Callithrix jacchus: one gene and its partners. The protein of the gene in region 1 purifies or fractionates together with the protein of each later gene. This does not show direct contact. Links are inferred from orthologs where the notes say so. Each region holds a gene or a part of one and is shown in the gene's direction. Other genes may lie near its edges. The genes, in order: SF3A3, SNRPA, SF3B6 and SNRNP70.

Region 1 (3,565 bases):
TAAGTACTATTTATTCTACAGGGAATATAACAAGATACCAAAAATATAAACCCTTTTTGCTTTCTCTTTGTTACGTGTTCCTCTGTAGATACCTAGAGATGCTGCTTGAGTACCTTCAGGATTACACGGATAGAGTGAAGCCTCTCCAAGATCAGAATGAACTTTTTGGGAAGATTCAGGCTGAGTTTGAGAAGAAATGGGAGAATGGGACCTTTCCTGGATGGCCGGTGAGCTACAGTGGGGTGTGAATGGTGGACATGCCAGGGAATTGAACTGATTATTTTCCTTTATCTTGAGCTTCCACTTTAGGGCATTAGGTATCAATTCCTTGGTATCATTTGTGACCATGAGGTATTCCCTGCCGAGTATGCTAGGTTTTTCTGTGTGTACTTTGGAGCAAGATTATCAGGGCCCACTTGCCTTGGACTGTGCCCAGATTTTCGCCAATCATATCATTACTGCCATGTGGTTTCTGCTTACCAAAAGCTTATTCAATCATATGTTAGGAATCTGTATTCTTGCTTGTGGGGATAAACCTGAGTTTTTCCTGAACTCCCCAGGCAGGGAATGTGGACCAACTTTACCTTCATCCTAAACCTGTTTTGTTTTTTTGTTTTTTGGAAGCAAGTTTTCCATCTTGCTCCTAGGCTGGAGTGCAGTGGCACAATCATACCTCACTGCTGCAGCCTCAACTGCCTGGACTCAAGAGATCCTCCCACTTTAGACTCCTGAGTAGTTGGCACATGCCACCATACCCAGCTAATTCATGTATTTTTTTGTAGAGATGGGGTTTCACCATGTTGCTGTGGCTGATCTCTTAACTTCTGAGCTCCAGCAGTTCACCCACCTTGGCCTCTCAAAGTGTTGAGATTACAGTTGTGAGCCACCACGCCCGGCCTAAACCTGGACCTTAATAAATAACATGTTGTTCTTCTTTCCAGAAAGAGACAAGCAGTGCTCTGACCCATGCTGGAGCCCATCTTGACCTCTCCGCATTCTCCTCCTGGGAGGTATGTTTCCTTCAGCGGTAGTACTGTTCTCCCTGTCTATCTTTCAGAGGGACCACTTGCTCTCCTGTCTTTAATACCGTGGTTGTGTTGTGATAAGGCACTCTTTCCTGGGATCAAGCATCTACAAAGAAGGTAGCAAGGTAAAAAGAAAAAAATAACTACTTGGGAAACTGAAATAATCGCTCTAACTACATTAAGCTGTAGTAACAGTAATAGTTAATACCAGTATGTTTAAGTCTGAAGATGACTACAGGCTCAGTCCTCTGGAGAGTTTAGACTTACTGCCAGATCGGCTATGAAATGTGTGGTCCTGCCACAGCCTCAGGAACACCCACCCACTGGCCTGCATTTGTTGTTTCCCAAAAATCTCAATTGTACTTTTTCTCTTTGTACAGGAGTTGGCCTCTCTGGGTTTGGACAGATTGAAATCTGCTCTCTTAGCTTTAGGCTTGAAATGTGGCGGGTAAGGAATGGTTTTTCTATCAAAACTGTTTGATTTACTGTGTGTTTGCACAGTCTTCTAAGTAGCTCTGATTACGTATTTTTTTCTGTTGCTCCAAACTGCAAAAATAAGCAAGCCTGTGTGATAAAGTAACCCTGAAATCCTTTGCCTGTTCTGTCTCCTTAGGACCCTAGAAGAGCGAGCCCAGAGACTATTCAGCACCAAAGGAAAGTCCCTGGAATCACTTGATACCTCTTTGTTTGCCAAAAATCCCAAGTCAAAGGGCACCAAGCGGTGAGTGGCTGGGGTAGCACCTCTCTTTGTGGCTTTTGAATGTCATTCCCATGCACAATTTTTAACCACAGTGGAGATTTTAAATTAGAGTCTGCTTTATTCCCATTATTGGTTGACAGATTCAGCCTGCTCTTTTGTATTTTAAGTAGAGACGGGGTTTCACCATATTGGCCAGGCTGATCTTGAACTCCTGACCTCGCAATCTGCCGGCCTCGACCTCCCAAAGTGCTGGGATTACAGACGTGAGCCACTGCGCCCAGCCAAAAAATATTTTTCTAAGCTTATTTTTGGTAATGAAAGTTGAATCTAATTCTTGAGCTGCATACTTATACAGGGTCTTTTCTTTTTTTTTGACACACAGTTTCGCTCTGTCACCCAAACTGGAGTTCACCTCCCAGGTTCAAGGGATTCACTTGCTCAACCTCCTGAGTAGCTGGGACTACAGGTGTGCACCACCACACCTGGCTGATTTTTGTATTTTTAGTAGAGATGGGTTTCGTCATGTTGGCCATGCTGGTCTGCATCTCCTGAGCTTAAGTGATTCACCCACCTTGGCCTCCCAAAGTGCTGAGATTATAGGTGTGAGCCACTGCACCCAGCTGAGGGATTTTTTTTTTCTTTTTTGAGATGAAGTCTCACTCTTTTGCCCAGGCTGGAGTGCAGTAGCACAGTCTTGGCTTATTGCAACCTCTGCCTCCCAGGTTTAAGTGATTCTCCTGCCTTAGCCTCCCGAGTAGCTGGGATTATAGACACCTGCCACCATGCCTGGCTAATTTTTTGTATTTTTAGTAGAGACAGGGTTTCACCATGTTGGCCAGGCTGGTTTTGAACTCCTGACCTCAGGCAATCCACCTGCCTTGGCCTTCCAAAGTGCTGGGATTACAGGTGTGAACCACTGTGCCCACCTAATTTTTGTATTTTTAGTACAGACAGGGTTTCACCATGTTGGCCAGGCTGGTTTTGAACTGACCTCAGGCAATCTACCTGCCTTGGCCTTCCAAAGTGCTGGGATTACAGGCATGAGCCGTTGCACCCGCCCAATTTTTGTATTTTTAGTAGAGACGGGGTTTCACCATGTTGGCCAGGCTGGTCATGAGTGCCTGACTTCAAGCGATCCTCCTGCCTCAGCTTCCCAAAGTGCTGGGATTACAAGCATGAGCCACCGCGCCTGGCCCATTTTCTTAATGCATGTTTTTTTCTAATTCTTACAACAACCCTAAAAAGTAATTGTTATTCTGAGTTTTTACAGATAAGGACCCAGAAAAGTTATGGTATGTGTCCACTCTCTCATAGTTGTAAGTAGCAGAGTCAGGATTTGGGCCCAGGTCTATCTACTGCAGAACTTGCTCTTCTATATCACATTTTTTTGTAGATTATAATGATGGAAATTTAAGTGCTCTTGATATGTCTTTCACCTTCTAGATGAGGTCATAGAGGAAGCCTCCATGCATTCTAAGAAATATTTCTGTCAGAGTCACGAGATGACAGAGCATTTGCTTTCACAGGATGTCATTTCTCGTGTTTATAATTTTTAATGCAGTGTGCAGTAACTGTTCCCAGATATAGGGAGCAAAGCAATGGATGAGAGAATCCTTGAGTGATAATGGCTTGTTTCTTTTTCTCAGAGACACTGAGAGGAACAAAGACATTGCTTTTCTAGAAGCCCAAATCTATGAATACGTAGAGATTCTCGGGGTAAGTGACTGCTGAAAGCGGAAAATTGGTGTAAAGTATGGGAGTTAAATGGCGAGGAACTCATGGAAGATATTTTTTTCTCTAGGTTCAAAAGAGTAATGGATAGGTAATAAACTAGTATGGC
Region 2 (4,337 bases), on another chromosome or scaffold:
GTTCAAGCAATTCTGCCTCAGCCTCCCTAGTAGCTGGGACTACAGCTGCACTCCACCACACCAGGCTAATTTTTGTATTTTTAGTAGAGATGGGGTTTCACCATATTGGTTAGGCTGATCTCCAACTCCTGACCTCAGGTCTGCCGGCCGCGGCCTCCCAAAGTAGCTGGGATTACAGGCCTGAGCCACCACGCCCGGTTCTGGACGGGGCACTTGTGAGGACAGCTTCTTCACTGCTGGAGGCACACCACCACGCAAGGGGTCTACGTGGGGGTCCTAAATAGTCAGGCTGTTTGATCTTGAGGACACGAGAACCCCCCAAGAGGAGACAAGAGGAGGCGGCTGAAGTGATCTGCGGAGAAGCAACTGGGGCAGAGCCTGGGCGGTGGGTGGGGTATGGAGACCCTACCGGTCCTTGTGCAGCTTCAGGAGCCTCTTCACATCTTCTCTGCCCTTGGGGACCGGGCCAGCCTTCTCCAAGGCCTCCTTCAGGAGCTGGCTCTTCTCCAGGCCGAAGACATGAGGGCGAGCAGGCCCCGAGGCAGCGGGTGGAGGAGGCAGTGGGGGCGGTGGGGGAACAGGAGTTTGCTGACTCCAGGGACGGGATGAAAAAGCTAAAAAGTCCAGGGCACTTGGGGGTAGAGGAGGAGGTGGAATGCTGCTGGCTTGGGGTACAGGGGTTCTTGGAGGAGGGATTGGTGATTTTAGGGGAGGAGAGCTTGGTGAAGTCATTTTGGGGTCTCCAGGAGGTGCTGAGGGGTTCAGAAGGTGGGGAGGGAGGGATCGTCCAAGAGGACGGCCTCAGGGACGGAAATTTTAAAAGTTTAAGAGCTGAATTCCAGAATCTGGGGGCAGAGCAGTGGGTGTGAAAGGACCAGGGCTAACATTTGAAACAGTGGGAGCAGGAATTGCGAGGCTGACCTCAGCCTTAAGGCACCTGACGGCTAACACGGCGGGGACGGGTTGTTACCTCGGGAGGCTTAGGTGGACAGTTAGTAGGAGTTAACTCCTTCTCTGGGGCCGAATGTGGAAACTCATGGGTAAGTCTGGGATATGAAGGCTCAGACATAGAGTGAGGTGCCTGAAGGGTGCGACTTAGGGGCCCGGGGCTAAAGATTCGGAGAACTTAGACTCAGTCCCCTCTCACATCCCAGGCCCGAGTTCGGAACCTTTGAGCTGACCTTTTGAGTCAGAGGCAAGAGGTCAAAAAGGACACCTGGCAGGGAAAGTGGCCTAGTTGTGGAGAAGGTCCTGGAGTCAGAGCAATAAAAAACCTCCGTGGGTTGGAGAAGACTCAGAGATCACAGGCTGGAGGGCGCCGCGATAACCGGTGGAACAGGGAAAGGAGTCAGGAAGTAAAATGAGCCGCCCACTCCCGCAAAATGGCGGCCCCCGCACACAGCCTTTCCCATATTATGTGGTATCACCCTCAATAGTGCCCGCCCATTTGGCGATCACGTGACAGAAAACGCATCTCACGCGGGGAAGAGGCGGGGCTTCAAACAGGCTTGCCTCCGGAAGACACCGCAGTTCGAAACGCGTCCCGATTGGCAAAACAATCGTGACCTTCACTGATTGGTCCGTAGACTCGGGAGCTACGGAAGGAGGTGGGCTTGTCGAAAGTGGGGCGGAGTTTTTCTACCTAAGCGGGAACCCAAATATCGTTTTGATTGGCAAGAACTGAGCCTAGAAACGAGTCTTGCTCTGATTGGGCAAGCTACTGAGTTTCCGCATGGGGATTGGCTGACAGAAAGGTAGAGGCGGGGCCAGGAGAGAAAGCTTTGTGGTTTGGTCTCAGAAAAGTAGCAGGCGCCAGTTGAGAAAACTGCGGCCCCATCGGAAGGTAACCTCGGGCGCAGACTAACATCGGCGGAAGGCGGGCGGTGCGCTTGGCGTCCGGGCCTTCCTGTGCCCGTCTGAGGAAACTTCTGCCTCTCGAGGCCAGGCTGCCCAAGACCCATCCTTTCTTCCTTTACTGGCTCTTACATCCGGGTTTTTTCTCCCGGACTGCCCTTCGGACGCGTCGACCAATGGGAACCGCCATTTAGGGGGCTCCGCCCACTGGGTCGCGTAGAGCATCCTGGAACTCGTAGTAAATCTCTCGAGAGTTCCCTCTGCACGCGGGCTCGAGAAGTGGGTCCTACGCACGCTTTGTTGCCCACGCTGTGCCTCCGTCCTTCCCACTCCCGCCTTACCTGACTTCCTCTCGGAAGGAAGAACCTTGAGCCCCCCGTTAAGCCAACGTTGGGACAAAGGATTTGGAGAAAACCAGGGCTAAAGTCACGTTATTTCTCGTTTAAGCCTTACCTCGACACTTCACTCCATGGCAGTTCCCGAGACCCGCCCTAACCACACTATTTATATCAACAACCTCAATGAGAAGATCAAGAAGGATGGTGAGTTCTCGGGATAGTCCGCACTCCAGGCTGTCCCGCACGGGCTGGTCTCCCTTCCACCCCCTGCACCTGCTTTTCTTTCTCAGTGTTCGTCCAAGCAAACTGTTCCAGTGAACCCTTTGGCCTTTACACAAACGACTTCCTCTGTCTTCAACACTCGTTAGTTCATCTTACACTCTGCCCTTTAACCTGGTCACTGTTGCTCATCTTACAAGGTTTCAGGACACAGGACCCCTCCTCCAGGAAGCCTTCCCTATCCTGCGTCCCTTCACGTGGCTGCCCCTGACTTCCTTCCATCAAGCCCGGATTCCTCTGGGCTGTCGTGGGGCTCTCTCTCCTCCCAGTGGCCTTTGAGCTCCATGAGGGCAACGCCTGGGGCTTCTTGGTCACCGGCGTTTTCAGTGATCAGTGCACAGTGAAAATGTACCGTACTGGGGCTAACGCTCTGTATCATGGGCTGGTCTATGCGCTATTTTTTTTTTTTTTTTTTTTTTTTTTTTTTTTTTTTGAGACGGAGTCTTGCTCTATCCCCAGGCTGGAGTGCAGTGGCGCAATCTCGGCTCACTGCAACATCCGACTCCTGGGTTCAAGCGATTCTCCCACCTCAGCCTTCTGAGTAGCTGGGACCACAGGCACGTGCCACCATGCCCGGCTATTTTTTGTATTTTTAGTAGAGATGGGATTTCACCAAGATGGTCTCGATCTCTTAACCTTGTGATCCGCCCGCCTCGGCCTCCCAAAGTGCTGGGATTACAGGCGTGAGCCACCGCTCCCAATCTTGGTTACATTTAATCCTCAAAACAAGCCTGTAGGAAGAAAGAAGGCTTTTGTTATTCCCATTCCTCAAATAAGCTGAGACTGGGGTGATGTGACTTGGCCTGGGTCACATAGCCACCGGTATCTAACTCCCGTTTTTGGCAGGGCGTGGTGGCTCAGGCCGAAAGGATCACTTAAACACAGGAGTTCAAGATCAGCCTGGGCAACAAAGCGAGATCTTGTCTCTACAAAAAAAAAAAAAAAAAAGCCTGGGCATGGGTGGGTCACGTCTGTGGTCCCAGCTGCTCAGGAGGCTGAGATGGGAGGATCGCTTGAGCTACAGAGGTTGAGGCTGCAGTGAGCTATGATTGCACTGCAGCCTGGGCAGAGCAAGAACCTATGTAAAAAAAGAACTTGATTATTGAAATCGGCAAGACTCTACAGCTTTCTCAAGTAAATTATCACCTTTATTGAACCTCATTTTCTGTGTCTGAAAACTGAACAAAGTCATAATACCTTCTTTGCATCGATGTTGGGGGAAATTAAATTAGCTAAATCTCTAAGTGTTTCTGTTTTATGGTACCTGGCAGCTAGGAAGGGCTGGATAAATGTTAGCTCTTATCACCTCAAGAAAATTGTCGGGAGAAGCGAAGGAGCTTGCTGGGATTCAGTTTGAGGTTACCAGTGAAGTTGCGCTTGAGGAAAGCATAGCCTACAGCCAGGCGCAGTGGCTCACGCCTGTAATCCCAACACACTGGGAGGCAGAGGCGGGTAGATCACTTAAAGCCAGGAGTTCGAGACCAGCCTGGCTAACATGCTGAAACCCTGTCTTTACTAAAAATACAAAAATTAGCCAGGTGTGGCGGTGCATGTCTGTAGCCCCGGCTACTCGGGAGGCTGAGGCAGAAGAATCACTTGAAACCCAGGAAGCGGAGGTTTTTGGGTGTTTTTTTTTTTTTGCAATTTTTTACTTTTTCCCTCCCAGAACACGGGAAGGAAGTAGAGGTCTTAGTGAGCAGAGTTCGCACCACTGTGCTCCAGCCAGGACGGTAGTGTGAGACTGTCTCAAAAAAAAAAAAAAAAAAAAAAAAAAAAAGACAAAATCAGGAATGTAAATATTGCATATGCTTTTAGAGTGTGCTACCCAACCAGTATCAGGCAGTGCTGGGGGCACACTGGTGACAT
Region 3 (3,197 bases), on another chromosome or scaffold:
CATTATCTAAAAAAAATAAGAAAATAATGTTAGCTCAGTGCCCTATACATGGTACAAATACATGCTTTTAAAAGTTCCAATTGGCCAGGCACGGTGGCTCATGCCTGTAATCCCAGCATGTTGGGAAGCCGAGGCAGGCAGATCATGAGGTCAGGAGTTTGAGACCAGCCTGGCCAACATGGTGAAACCCTGTCTCTACTAAAGATAAAACAAATTAGCCAGGCATGGTGGCGGGTGCCTGTAATCCCAGCTACTCAGGAGGCTGAGGCAGGAGAATCACTTGAACCCAAGAGGTGGAGGTTGCAGTGAGCCGAGATAGCGCCTTTACACTCCAGCCTGGGCGACAGAGCAAGACTCCATCTCAAAATATATATATATATATATATATATATATATATATATATATATATATATATATATATGTTCAGATTATAATACAGCTCTCAAGATGTGAGGCTGATAATTAAGACTGGGACACTTGAGATGGAGGGTCTTTAAAGTGGGGTTAGTATCTATCCCTATGCTGGTTCCTAAGAAGATGTAAGAGGAAGAAAGAGAGTTGCTTTGTTTTGAGCTTCCTGGAGAAAGTATGTGTGAGAGAATTGATAGGAAGTAGATCTCCACCTTTCAAAGGCATATTAGCATCTGCCTTATGTGTGGCACTATAGGAGTAAATGAAGTAGGCATAAGATCACCTTTGCTCTTAAAGAACTGAAAATCTTGTTAAGTTTTTAAAAGTCAAAAGTCTGAAAGTTGTTAAGACTTCCCAGATCCTAAAGAACATTCTAAAACCCGAGATCAGGCCCACGTAACCTGACAAAGTGAGCATACTCATTGACACTGGCACCCTCCAATCACCCCCAGCACCCTGCACCTTTTCAATGTTATAGGAAGCAGAAGCTTGAGCAGGGCCCGGACTATAATCTTGTCCTAGATCAAGTCTAGGCATGTGCCTCCACTTCCCATGGCTCCACTGCTTTTATTCAACCCTATGTAGGGACTGTGGCAGATGGAAAGCCAACAATCTTAAACCTCATTCCACGGTTGCACTGGGTGGTCAGAACACAGATGGAGGCAAGGGGGCCATCTTGTCATCCAGAGCATGAACTGAGTGGGAACTCTACCCATTGTCCCCACTGACAATCACATGGCCAGCTGCTGCCTACAATTTAGTGTTCTGTTGCTCCTCACACTTCTCTACCTCTCTCAGAGGAAGCTGATGAAGTGAAGGAAGGAAGTGGCCAGGAATACCTACACTAACAGCAGCCCCATATCTATGAGTAAGGTCTAGTTTCCACTTCCAGTCACCTTCCAGCATTCTGCCCTTGCTCACAGATAACCCTATCTATAAGCACACTTCCACTCCCATCTTTGCAGAAGCCTAGCCCTTCTCCCCAGCCATACAGCTGTATCATGCATTAGAGTTTGTATTAAAAAGGCATTGAGTTGTATTAAAAATGAATGTAGACCAGGTTTGGTGACTCATGCCTGTAATCTCAACACCTTGGGAGGCTGAGGCAGCTCAATCACTTGAGGTCAGGAGTTCGAGACCAGCCCGGGAACAGGGCAAAACCCTATCTCTACTAAAAGTACAAAAATTAGCTGGACATGGTGGCACATGCCTGGAGTCCCAATTACTTGGGAGGCATGAGAATCACTTGAACTTGAGAGGCAGAGGTTGCAGTGAGCTGGGATCATGCCACTGCACTCCAACCTAGGCAAGAGTGAGGTTCCATCTCAAAAAAAAAGCAATGTAGTGCCAGACAGGGTGGTAAGAAGCTGAGTTCTGGGTAGTAGCTGTGTTCCTAGTATTCCTGATATAGCAGTAAGCTTGACCTATAGATGTTTTACTTAAGATAAAAACAAAAAACAAAATTACCGAATTCAAGAAATTACAGGCTTATCTAGTTATCTATGCGTGTTTATTTCCTCTTATGGTTTCAGGTTGGTTTCAAAATATTTAAATTAAAAACATATTTCAGTTTACTGTCTTTAGAAGACAGTTACCAGTTTAAAAGACAGTTCTGTTATTCAACTCAATGCTCAGGTAAACGTATATCTTAATTAAGTTTGATTTAACTCTCCAGGGGGAACACACCTGAAACTAGAGGAACAGCTTATGTGGTCTATGAGGACATCTTTGATGCCAAGAATGCATGTGATCACCTATCAGGATTCAATGTTTGTAACAGATACCTTGTGGTTTTGTACTATAATGCCAACAGGGTAAGTATAGCCAAGTTCTCCTTGTATGGTGATCTCATTTGAAAATTAGTGTAGAACTGTGCTGTGACGATATATGTCTACTGTGACTATTTTTTGGCTAATGCTATTGGTGAAATTTATTTGGCTGTAGATCGGTAATTCAACTTTGGTGCTTACTGCATTTCCAGGCATTTCAGAAGATGGACACAAAGAAGAAGGAGGAACAGTTGAAGCTTCTCAAGGAGAAGTATGGCATCAACACAGATCCACCAAAATAAATGTTTTCTACATTTTCATTTTGGACTGAAACCATGAATGACAACTACCATCTTTTCCCTTTTTTTCCTTTTTAATTAATACTAAATATTGTGATTTCTTATTTTAGGTTCAAAATGACCTTGAAACTTTGATACATATCAGAATACATGATATTAATAAACCTGTTGCTTTTTGTGAAACACGTCTGTCTTTTCTTTTGAACTTTCCCTCCCTGTTTGATACCAGGAAAAAAATAGTTGAAGCTTATCAGGAATTGTAGGTGCTCCTAGGGAGTCCGAGTTTCTTGAAAACAGGACCTCTTTATATTCTTAATGCCTCCGGGGTCCAGTGCAGTGCTTAGCCGTCAAAGGAACTTGCTGTTTATTGAATGTCTATTAATAATGGATCTTTATAACAACTCAGTGAAGATAGGTATTTGCATTTTGCAGGCGAGGAAACCAAAGCTCATGATGTTGGGTGAATGAATAAAATGCTAACCTACAAAGCTGGTGTAATAGCAACCAAGCCTTTACATTTGAATGATGCTTGCTTTATAGTTAACAAAATACCTTTGTCAGTATGGGTACCCTTGTCTTAGAACAGAGGTCTATTCTAGAAATGGTCATTTAGATGGTAGTACACTGTTAGAAACTTAGATTTGCCTCTCTAAATTTTTTTGAAAATTATTATGGGTATATAATGGTTGTCACATTGGTAGAAGTTTGAGAGCAAGC
Region 4 (3,565 bases), on another chromosome or scaffold:
TGAACCAGCACTTAAGAAATGTTACTAGCCAATTAACTTAATTTAATGGGCACAGGCAGGTGGTAGATGCCCTCTGATGATGATGTGCCAGTTACTATTTATGAGACTGAGTTTCACTTTTGTTGCGCAGGCTGGAGTGCAGTGGTGTGATTTCAGCTCACTGCAGCCTTCAGTTCAAGCAGTTCTGCCTCAGCCTTTCCAGTAGCTGGGATTACAGGCATGTGCCACCATGCCTGGCCAATTTTGTATTGTTAGTAGAGATAGGGGTTCGCCATGTTGGCCAGGCTGGTTTCGAACCCCTGACCTCCAGTGATCCACCAGCCTTGACCTTCCAAACTGCTGGGATTACAGGCGTGAGCCACCACGTCCAGCAACCAGTTACTATTTAATGCATGGTTGGTGACACCTTTAAGTGCTGCCCTGGCACTCAGAGGGTGTGCAGTGTGGGCTTCGGAGTCCTGTCCTGTCAGCTCATGTTGCTTCAGGCCTGGTCCTCTTAACTGACTCTCATAAACAGGGCCCTCCCGTAACTCCGCTCCCATCACATCTTCTGGCACTTTGTTCAATGTGAGTGATGCTTGGAGCTGTGAGAAGCAGCGTGTTTCCTGAATATGGAAGACAGGGACCTTCAGCACTGTATTTTTAAGCTAGGTGTCACCTGTGCCAGTGCTTTTCAAACTGTCATTGGTGAAGGGCAGTTTCCAATCTGTTGCAGATTGATGCTTTTGATAAATAGGATAGAATTACTTTTTTTTTTTTTTGCGACGGAGTTTCGCTCTTGTTACCCAGGCTGGAGTGCAATGGCACGATCTCGGCTCACCGCAACCTCCGCCTCCTGGGTTCAAGCAATTCTCCTGCCTCAGCCTCCCGAGTAACTGGGACTACAGGCGTGCACCACCATGCCCAACTAATTTTTGTATTTTTAGTAGAGACGGTGTTTCACCTTGTTGACCAGGATGTTCTCCATCTCTTGACCTCATGACCTGCCTTGGCTTCCCAAAGTGCTGGGATTATAGGCGTGAGCCACTGCGCCCGGCCTAGAATTACTTTTTAAAGAAAGACTTACAGTCAGAAGTTCTAGACCAACCTGGCCAATATGGTGAAACCTCCTCTCTACTAAAAGTACAAAAATTAGCCAGCATAGTGTCGTTTACCTGTAATCCCAGGTACTCAGGAGGCTGAGGCAGGAGAATCACTTGAACGATTCTAGTCAGTTCCTGGGTTCCTTTTAGAAACACACGATTGCTAGTGGGTTCCTTGTAGAGACAGCACAGAGGGGAAAGCAGGACGTAGAATCGCTTGAACCTGGGAGGTGGAGGTTGCAGTGAGCCGAGGTCGCGCCATTGTACTCCACCCTGGGTCACATAGCAAGACTTTGCATCAAAAAATAGAAGACCTGGCGGGGCGCGGTGGCTCAAGGCTGTAATCCCAGCACTTTGGGAGGCCGAGGCGGGTGGATCACGAGGTCGAGAGATTGAGACCATTCTGGTCAACATGGTGAAACGCCATCTCTACTAAAAATACAAAAAATTAGCTGGGCATGGTGGCGTGTGCCTGTAATCCCAGCTACTCAGGAGGCTGAGGCAGGAGAATTGCCTGAACCCAGGAGGCGGAGGTTGCGGTGAGCCGAGATCGCGCCATTGTACTCCAGCCTGGGTAACAGGAGCGAAACTCGGTCTCAAAAAAAATAAATAAATAAAATAAAATAGAAGACCTGCAGAATAAAAGACCAAATTTGTATTAGTCAGTGAGCGTAAAACTGTGAAATTACTGTAGAAGTTTCTTAGCACTTACTCCTGGTTTCTGTACTTCTCACAGTCCAGCAGGTTTGGATAGTGCTGGTCCATGGACTGTGCTTCTTTTCTAAGATAGGGTCTTATTCTGTCATCCAGGCTGGAGTGCACTGTCACAGTCATTGTTCATGGCCGCCTCGCTCTCCAGTGCCCAAGAGATCCTCCTCCTTAGCCACCCTAGTAGCTGGGACTATAGACGTGTGCCCCCACACCTGGCTTATTTGTAAATTTTTAGTAGAGATGGTGTTTCACTGTGTTTCCCAGGCTGGTCTGAAACCCCTGGGCTCAAGCATTCTTCCTGTGTCATCCCCCCCAAAGTGATGAGATTACAAGTGGAAGCCACTGTGTGTGGCTGCAGACCATGCTTTGATCTGTGCCACTCCTCTCCCTCCACAGTGACTGGGGAAGTGTACATGTGTGTGTGTTTTTGTAGTGGGGGTGGGAGGGGTGACATGCTTATTTCCTTGGTGAGCGTCCCTTTCCGTTTCCCCTAGTCCTTCCCACCCTGTCACCTCTCTTCTTGTTCCTAGGACCCTCGAGATGCCCCTCCTCCAACTCGTGCAGAAACCCGAGAGGAACGCATGGAGAGGAAAGTATGTCATTTTTGTTTCCAGACCCCCACCTTTCGCTGTTTTCTCCACATGGTCCTTGACACCAGGGTACTTCTATCTGCGTTTACTTATCCACCTCCCCTTTCTCATGACAGAGACGGGAGAAGATTGAGCGGCGACAGCAGGAAGTGGAGACAGAGCTCAAAATGTGTAAGTCTCTCATCCACTGTTCTCCCCGCTGTGTTCTTTCCAGGTCACTCAGTATCCTGCTGTCTCCCAAAGGCCTGTTTTTGGGGGAGCAGGATTGTTCTTTTATTTGGTCCCTGCCACTTGGCAAGCCCTGTTTTTGGTTTGGGCTTTTCAGCAGCAGAATATGGGGTAAAAGTTGGTGGGAAGGGAGACCCCTGGTACCTTGGGCTCTTCCTGCAGGGGAGGACAGTTATAAGGGGCTCCCACAACCCAGCTGGGTCTCAGGCTGAGGCAGTGAGTTGTGGGCTAGTGGGTCCGTCCCAGCTCTACCCTTAGCTCCCTGACCTTTGGGCTGAGGACGTTCATCCCCTCCACGTATCAGAGGAATTGGGAGTACAGGACAGGAGTATTGTCGTCATTAACCAAACCGATAAGCTCAGTTATCAACCTCCAGTGGCTCTTTATTGTGAGAGTGAAAACTCACGCAGCATAGTGATATTTCAGTCAGCAGGGGACCACAGCTGTGACGGTGAGCCCATGTGATTAGACTATATTTTGCTGGGCGCGGTGGCTCATGCCTATAATCCCGTACTTTGGGAGGCTGAGGCAGGTGGACTGTGAGGTCAGGAGTTTGAGATCAGCCTGGCCAGCCTGGTGAAACTCTGTCTATATACAAATAAAAATTAGCCGGGTGTGGGGGTGCGTGCCTGTAATCCCAGTTACTCGGGAGGCTGAGGCAGGAGAATCTCGAACCTGGGAGGTGGAGGTTGTTGCCATTGTACTCCACCCTGTGCAACAAGCCGGGCGCGGTGGCTCACGCCTGTAATCCCAGCACTTTGGGAGGCCGAGGCGGGCGGATCAAGAGGTCAAGAGATCAAGACCATCCTGGCCAACATAGTGAAACCCCGTCTCTACTAAAAATATAAAAAATTAGCTGAGCGTGGTGGCGCTCGTCTATAGTCCCAGCTGCTTGGGAGGCTGAGGCCCGAGAATTGCTTGAACCCGGGAGGCAGAGGTTGCAGTGAGCGGAGA

What was found.
Region 2: the proteins of SF3A3 (region 1) and SNRPA fractionate together in Homo sapiens (co-fractionation; 4 studies listed by BioGRID and IntAct, with this or other methods). This does not show direct contact. The link is inferred for Callithrix jacchus from reciprocal best matches to the Homo sapiens genes SF3A3 and SNRPA.
Region 3: the proteins of SF3A3 (region 1) and SF3B6 purify together in Homo sapiens (affinity purification with mass spectrometry; 3 studies listed by BioGRID and IntAct, with this or other methods). This does not show direct contact. The link is inferred for Callithrix jacchus from reciprocal best matches to the Homo sapiens genes SF3A3 and SF3B6.
Region 4: the proteins of SF3A3 (region 1) and SNRNP70 fractionate together in Homo sapiens (co-fractionation; 3 studies listed by BioGRID). This does not show direct contact. The link is inferred for Callithrix jacchus from reciprocal best matches to the Homo sapiens genes SF3A3 and SNRNP70.

The regions. Positions count from the first base shown.
Region 1 is NC_133508.1:74,552,695-74,556,259, reverse strand, and holds part of SF3A3 (splicing factor 3A subunit 3), read left to right. Parts: intron 1-88; coding exon 89-227; intron 228-941; coding exon 942-1,010; intron 1,011-1,405; coding exon 1,406-1,473; intron 1,474-1,638; coding exon 1,639-1,746; intron 1,747-3,371; coding exon 3,372-3,441; intron 3,442-3,565. UniProt on the Homo sapiens protein: Component of the 17S U2 SnRNP complex of the spliceosome, a large ribonucleoprotein complex that removes introns from transcribed pre-mRNAs.
Region 2 is NC_133523.1:36,292,162-36,296,498, forward strand, and holds the start of SNRPA (U1 small nuclear ribonucleoprotein A), read left to right. Parts: upstream 1-1,492; 5' UTR 1,493-1,607; intron 1,608-1,772; exon of another isoform or gene 1,773-1,843; intron 1,844-2,103; exon of another isoform or gene 2,104-2,301; 5' UTR 2,302-2,323; coding exon 2,324-2,396; intron 2,397-4,337. Other genes in the region: ACTMAP (actin maturation protease), read right to left, coding at 410-732. UniProt on the Homo sapiens protein: Component of the spliceosomal U1 snRNP, which is essential for recognition of the pre-mRNA 5' splice-site and the subsequent assembly of the spliceosome. U1 snRNP is the first snRNP to interact with pre-mRNA.
Region 3 is NC_133515.1:91,183,837-91,187,033, forward strand, and holds the end of SF3B6 (splicing factor 3B subunit 6), read left to right. Parts: intron 1-2,087; coding exon 2,088-2,226; intron 2,227-2,393; coding exon 2,394-2,483; 3' UTR 2,484-2,663; downstream 2,664-3,197.
Region 4 is NC_133523.1:42,904,113-42,907,677, forward strand, and holds part of SNRNP70 (U1 small nuclear ribonucleoprotein 70 kDa), read left to right. Parts: intron 1-2,323; coding exon 2,324-2,386; intron 2,387-2,499; coding exon 2,500-2,554; intron 2,555-3,565. UniProt on the Homo sapiens protein: Component of the spliceosomal U1 snRNP, which is essential for recognition of the pre-mRNA 5' splice-site and the subsequent assembly of the spliceosome. SNRNP70 binds to the loop I region of U1-snRNA.